Oryctolagus cuniculus: one gene and its partner. The protein of the gene in region 1 purifies or fractionates together with the protein of each later gene. This does not show direct contact. Links are inferred from orthologs where the notes say so. Each region holds a gene or a part of one and is shown on either strand. Other genes may lie near its edges.

Region 1 (3,500 bases):
TAAAAGGAATGAAAATTAACTTCATGCTGGCCAGGTGAGCACCATGGCATTCTGATGGGTCTGAAACATTGTCTGGCTGACAGTTAATGACCATTTGGTAGATAAATAATGAAACTGTATGGATACTTCAAAAGTTTGCATTCCTGTGTCTGTTTTCTCATAATATGCATTTTCCATTTTCCATGAACTTTTTGGAGACCTTCCTATTTAAGCCTAGGTCTAAATCACAACTCCAAGCATACATGTCCCTTACACTCAAGAAAATTGCAACTTGTACTTTCTCCTACCCTTCAGCTGACAACTTCAATCCGTTGACTTCAGGTCTTAAGTGTGTCTTAAGTTCTGTTGAACAACAGAAACTTACCAACAGCCTCTTATCAGTCTTTGACAAGAACGTGAATATGCCTTTCAAGGTCTCCATGGCACCCTTTGGCTGCTCTAATGCACATTCTCTTTGATAAGTTTCAAAGAAGCATTCTCCAGTGGTCATCTATGACAGTAAGTAAGAAAAATCTTTCATCATGGGAAGGAACGCACACAGCATGCTTTTTATGAGTCTTAATTTCTTATGTTTCCTAAAATATATCAAGGACCTCTGACATTGTGAAAATACCTTTGGACAGGTTATTGGAAAGAGATTACACTTCTGTGGCAAAAAGAGAAAATCCAGCAAAATTGTAGGGGGGTTGAATATATGTCCTAGGCTCAAAATAGTCTTAGCCTTGAGGAAATATAAAAAAAATGATGTTTGAACATTGACATGAAGTTAATATAGGTTATAGTCTACAAATCTGGAGTTCATGTAAGATATTAAAACTCTTACTCAAACCCACTCAGCACATTCATTTCTTGGTTGCTTGTCTTGAAACTGAGAAACAAAAATAGGTCTGATGTAATGAACACAAAAATATCAGTTGTTAAAAAGTGATCTGAGTGTTACTTCCTTTTAAAGAGTGTTAATTGTGATCTTTCAACAATGGCTTCAAGATTTATGGAGAATTCTACCCAAACTACTCTCACAGGTGTATGTCACATTTTAATGTATCTTAAAAACAATAAAGATGGCAGAGCATAGTTCTGTTATTGTGTCAAGTATAGAAGTTCCACTGTATTTCTACAAAGCATATTCAATAAATGCATCATGACTTCACAGCTTTGAATGTGGCTAAAATAAGAGAAATCTGTGAGATTACTTAAAGTATAGGTTTGCATTTGTTTCAGTATTTAAGGCACACCCAATAAAGGTCTGAGAGAAGAAACTCATTTTTACCTGGACATCCAAAATGTTGAACAGTTTATTGGTTTGGGGCATAAAAGAATTTGGTACCATTATTTCCATGCTTACATTTGGAGCCATGCTATTGCCAGTGTTAATAACCTGGAAAGGAAAGGTTTAAAAAATCATTTTCAATGTTTTTCATAATTGTGAGTATAAAAATCATTGAGCTTGTAGGTCACCTCTTATATTCCCTGCAACATTTGTGATCTTGGAGTTTTATAGTTGGCAGCTGCACAGTGAGCGCAAAATACCCATGGTCATAATTTTTAAAGTTTACTAGTAATTTCAAATTCTAGTCAGTTTTGTAGCCCTCTTTAGGCATTTTTAGGCTGACAGTTTCTTCTAGAAACTGTCTCGAGATTGAGACATCAACAGCAATACACATTATGGATTCTTAAAATAGCATTTGGTCTTCATAACTATCTTGTGAAGTGGGCCAACATTACACCCTGTACCAGCACAGAAAAATTCTAAGAAGTGTCAGTGATATTCCCCAAATGAAAGATAAAAAGTAACAAATTTGGGGCCTGTACTGTGGCATAGTCAGACTAAGCCTCCGCCTGTAGCACCAGCATCCTATATGGGCATTGGTTCAAGTCCCAGCTGATCCTCTTCCTAACCAGCTCTCTGCTATGGCCTGGGAAAGCAGTGGAAGATGGCCCAAGCCCTTGGGCCCCTGCATCTATGTGGGAGACCCAGAAGAAGCTCCTGGCTTTAGATGGGCCTAACACTGGCCATTGCAGCCATTTGGGGAATGAACCAGCAGATGGAAAGCCTCCCTCTCTCTAACTCTGCCTCTCAAATAAAATCTTTTTTTTTTTTTTTTAATTTTACAGGCAGAGTTAGTGAGAGAGAGACTGGGAGAAAGGTCTTCCTTCTGTTGGTTCACCCCTCAAATGGCTGCCATGGCCGGCGCACCGTGCCGATCCGAAGCCAGGAGACAGGTGCTTCCTCCTGGTCTCCCATGCAGGTGCAGGGCCCAAGCACTTGGGCCATCCTCCACTGCCTTCCTGGAACACAGCAGAGAGCTGGATTGGAAGAGGGGCAACTGGACTAGAACCCAGCACCCATATAGGATGCCGGCGCTGCAGGAGGAGGATTAACCAAGTGAGCCACGGCGCCAGCCCCTAAATAAAATCTTTTTAAAAAGGTGACAAATTCAGGGATTCGAGCTCTATATCCTGTGTTTTAGGATCACTCCATGCTAACCAGATGATCAGTAACAAGTGACTGAAATTTATTTTTAAAAAACAGAATGTTACTGAGTTCTAGGAAACTATAACTGTTTTTTTTGTTTTGTTTTGTTTTGTTTTGTTTTGTTTTTGACAGGCAGAGTGGACAGTGAGAGAGAGAGACAGAGAGAAAGGTCTTCCTTTGCTGTTGGTTCACCCTCCAATGGCCGCCGCGGCCAGCGCACCATGCTGATCCAAAGGCAAGAGCCAGGTACTTATCCTGGTCTCCCATGAGGTGCAGGGCCCAAGCGCTTGGGCCATCCTCCACTGCACTCCCTGGCCACAGCAGAGAGCTGGCCTGGAAGAGGGGCAACCGGGACCGAATCCGGCGCCCTGACCGGGACTAGAACCCAGTGTGCTGGCGCCGCAGGCGGAAGATTAGCCTGTTGAGCCGCGGCATCGGCTGGGAAACTAAAACTGGTTTTAATAATGCAGGTTTTGGCCGGTGCCGCGGCTCACTAGGCTATTCCTCCACCTAGCAGTGCAGGCACACCAGGTTCTAGTCCCGGTCGGGGCACCGGATTCTGTCCCTGTTGCCCCTCTTCCAGGCCAGCTTTCTGCTGTGGCCAGGGAGTGCAGTGGAGGATGGCCCAAGTGCTTGGGCCCTGCACCCCATGGGAGACCAGGATAAGTACCTGGCTCTCGCCTTTGGATCAGCATGGTGCGCTGGCCGCGGCGGCCATTGGAGGGTGAACCAAAGGCAAAGGAAGACCTTTCTCTCTGTCTCTCTCTCTCACTGTCCACTCTGCCTGTCAAAATAAATAGTTAAATAATGCAGGTTGAGCACCTCCGATTTGAAAGTGTCTTGTTTCTACAAATTTTAGATTTGGGCATAATTTATATTTTTGGATTCCAAAAATCCAAAATCTTCCAAAATATGAAACATTTCTTTTTCGGTCCCATGAATTTTGGATAAGGGATTATTAGCCTGTATTTTTTTTTAAAAAGATGCATAGGGGATATTTCATTGGTGTTGATAAACTTGGATA
Region 2 (3,500 bases), on another chromosome or scaffold:
CACACTTGCAGATGAACTCAAGGACCACCTCCACCTCCTCGGTGAAGCCCAGAGGCTTGATTTTAATGGTTTCAGAATGCTTAACTGGACACTGATTTGAAGTTATGCTGATTTCAAAGTGAACCTTGAAGGAAAAAAGCAAGATTAAGTGAACAATAAGCTAAGCAACATGAATCTGCTAAAAACTATCTCAAAAACCCACTCATTTCTTTTTAGTATGTTTCAAATCATGAACTGCATTTGCTTATAAATAAGCAATACCTCATCTCCAATGGAGATATTGGAGCACTTCCTTCCGTTCTCCCCTGTGCCATTCACCCCGTTCTTGCAGTAAGATTTGTAATTTATCGTTACTCCTTCTGGCAATTTGCTGTTTTCCAAAATGACTTCTGAAGAAAGGGACTAAAAGAAAGACTAATTATACACAAGAAAGTTGAAATGCTCCTGGGATGCATAAGATGACCAGTCAAGACAGTATTGTAAAGTCTTACAAAACACAAACAGGCACTGGTTAATAAGGGTCTCATCTGTAGAACCACCTACATGGTTGAAAGGGCATTCTGTTCCTACAACGAGGTAAAACAGCAAGGATCGTGCAGTCCCAAGGCCTGATACTGACGAGGAGGAGTGTGTTCCTTACCCCCTGGGCAAAGTCTCCAGGTCCTCAACTCACTATGGCCAAGGCACTCTACTGCGCAGTCTGGGAGCGACTGTGCTTGGAAGCCACTGTAAGCCTGGCCAGCAAAGACTAAAAACTCTTAAGGGGGAAAGACTCAAGCTAGTGCGGGCAGTCAGCCTAGAGGTTAATAATGATGCCCACACCCTACAAGTGGGTTTGAGGATGGCCTCTGGCTTCTGATTCCAACCTCCTGCCAATGCAGACCCAGGTGTGCGGCAGTGCTAGCTTCCTGCCAACCATGTGGGACACCGAGTTCTCTGCTCCCAGCTTCAGCCCAGCACAGTCCCAGCCTTGTGGACATCTGGGGAGTGAACCAGTAGATGGGAGTTCTGTCTGTATATAAACGAACATTTTGTAAAAACTCCGACCTCTCAGAACAATGAGGGCTGCAGTAGCAAACTACCTGTTGCTCACACTCTTAATAAAGATCAAAGTTGGGAAAACAGTCTGTTGAGAAAAAACAGCTGGGGGAAGACAAAGGAACTACTGGAATCTTCAAAGTTGCTGGGTGGCATCCGCCCTACTGGTTACAACACTAACTAGGATGCCCACGACCCACACCACATGCCTGGGTTTGACTGCCAGCTGGCCAGTTCCTGATTCCAACTCTAGGAGACAGCAGTAATGACTGAAGTCGCTGGGTTCCTGCCACCAACATGGGAGACCTGGATTGAGTTTCCAGCCCCAGCTTTGGCCCCCGAGCCCTTATGGGTATTAAGGGTGTTAACCAACAAATGGAAACTCTCAAAAAAAAAGTTAAAAAACAAAGCCCAGTCCATCTTTCTGACTCAGCTCTTTCCAAAACATTTTTAGACTCCCACTGCAAAAAAACATCAAAAATTTAACCAACCAAAGGGTGAGTGGGGTGAAAGTATACAGTGCATTTCCAAACCACTGCTAAGCAGTGCTTCCTGAGAGCCATTAACGGTTTTCTGAATTGAGATCTAGAGAGAGCACAGTTCCTCTCTGACTTCACCTCACCTGCACATGTGCAGAAAAAACAATCCTATAAGCCTGTTAAAATAATCAAGCTGCAGACAAGTACATGTTTACAGTTTACGCATTCTATGCTGTATGTAGCGATGAATGTGTGTACTCCCCCCTAAAAACAGAAAACATGTTCTCTGAATGTGTGGAAGGAAAGAAACAGCCGAAAAGCTTTTCTACCACAATTCACCAAAATAGAAGAATCTATAAAGAACACTTTGGAGGGAGAGGATGGCTGGGCCCCTACAGATCAGACGTCAGTTACACATCACACCTGCTTTGTTTCCCCACAGGGACATCTCACTTGGTGATGTACAGACTTGAGGTTTTCCCACATGGCTCTGTCACGTTTTTGCTTTGTTTAGACTATGCTTCTCTGAGACAATATCAAGTTTTCCCCCAGATACAGCACATAAGTTGTGTGTTATCCTCTGGGCTTCCCAGCCTGTGTTCTAAGGAGTTTCACCCTCACAGGGCACTGTCAGAGCTGCTCTGATCCACAGGCACTCACGTTGTAGGCATCAATGATCAGCTGGATGACATTGCTGGAGTTTGCAGACAACGTTCCCACTGCTGACTTAGGGATCAAGTTTTTCAGTTCCTGCAATTAAAAGACAAAGCATGTCAAATACTATTCATCAACCAGGTAGCACTTACTGAACAAGCAACCTGCATCTTTAAACACTCATTCCCTATACATTTCCTAAATAACTTCGGGAGTCAAACCTGAAAAAGACGAGTTTTATGATGTGATTAAAATTAACATCAACCTCTTTTGTAAAATTCAGTCTGCCTGGGCTTGCACTGTGGTACAGCAGGTTAAAGCCCCAGCCTGTGGCACCAGCATTCCATATAGGCACCGGTTTGAGCCCCAGCTGCTCCACTTCTGATCCAGCTCCCTGCTAATGCACCTAGGAAAGCAGTGCAAGACAGCCCAAGTGCTTGGGCCCCTGCACCCACGTGGGAGACCCAGAAGAAGCTCCTGGCTCCTGGCTTCAGATCAGCTCAGCTCCGGCCGTTTTAGCCATTTGGGGAGTGAACCAGGGATGGAAGACCTCCCTCCCTCCCTCTCTCCCCACCTCTCCCCCTCCCTCTCTCTCTACCTCTCTCTGTCTCTACCCATCTCTGTAACTCTGACCTTCAAATAAATCTTTTTAAAGGAAAAATTCAGTCTGCCTACCTAGTGGCTTCTTCCTACACTTTAATTCATAAATGCTTTTTACCTCTAATGACAACAACAACAAAAATCCTAGCACTTTGTTTTTTTTTTTTTTCTTATTTCACACATACCTTGTAAACAGGCTGAAATTCTTCAGTAACTGCAAAAATAGTCTGAATGTTATTTTCACTGAGTTTCTGGACGAGGTGGGCAATAGAAGGGTAGTCCTAAGAAATCAAGAGACACAGTTTAGTGCACAGGTCCTCCTTCCACTCTGCTCTGTGAAAAACCCAATACCTGCACAGGTGACAGTGCGGGTGGTAGGTCAGCTGAGGGTTCCCCATGCTGCCCCCTCTACTTGCCTGTACATATGAAAACCTCCACACCGAAAAGGTCTTAAACAACCAGACAATCTGTGTATACTGAGCTGTCAGGAATCTGCTATCTGTCACTTCAGATAAAGAACAAAATTCAACATTTGGATTTCTTCTAGAATTTGAATAATTTGCCTTTTTTTTTTTTCCAATAAAGGCAGGTGCCTGCTTCTAAAAACCACCTAAGATTAAACACTGCAAGACTTGTTTAGAAGCACCATTGACTTTACTACCCAGTGTATGGCAGTGAGCAGACAGCTGTGGGTGAGGCAGGGGCTGAAGTGGTGTCTGAGACAGCCCC

Evidence for each region. Proteins that work in one complex are often made in the same cells at the same time.
Region 2: the proteins of ITGA4 (region 1) and ITGB1 purify together in Homo sapiens (co-immunoprecipitation; 4 studies listed by BioGRID and IntAct, with this or other methods). This does not show direct contact. The link is inferred for Oryctolagus cuniculus from reciprocal best matches to the Homo sapiens genes ITGA4 and ITGB1.

The regions. Positions count from the first base shown.
Region 1 is NC_091434.1:59,268,351-59,271,850, forward strand, and holds part of ITGA4 (integrin alpha-4), read right to left. Parts: intron 1,379-3,500; coding exon 1,271-1,378; intron 491-1,270; coding exon 365-490; intron 1-364. UniProt on the Homo sapiens protein: Integrins alpha-4/beta-1 (VLA-4) and alpha-4/beta-7 are receptors for fibronectin. They recognize one or more domains within the alternatively spliced CS-1 and CS-5 regions of fibronectin. They are also receptors for VCAM1.
Region 2 is NC_091444.1:108,925,883-108,929,382, reverse strand, and holds part of ITGB1 (integrin beta-1), read right to left. Parts: intron 3,053-3,500; coding exon 2,957-3,052; intron 2,268-2,956; coding exon 2,178-2,267; intron 403-2,177; coding exon 262-402; intron 125-261; coding exon 1-124.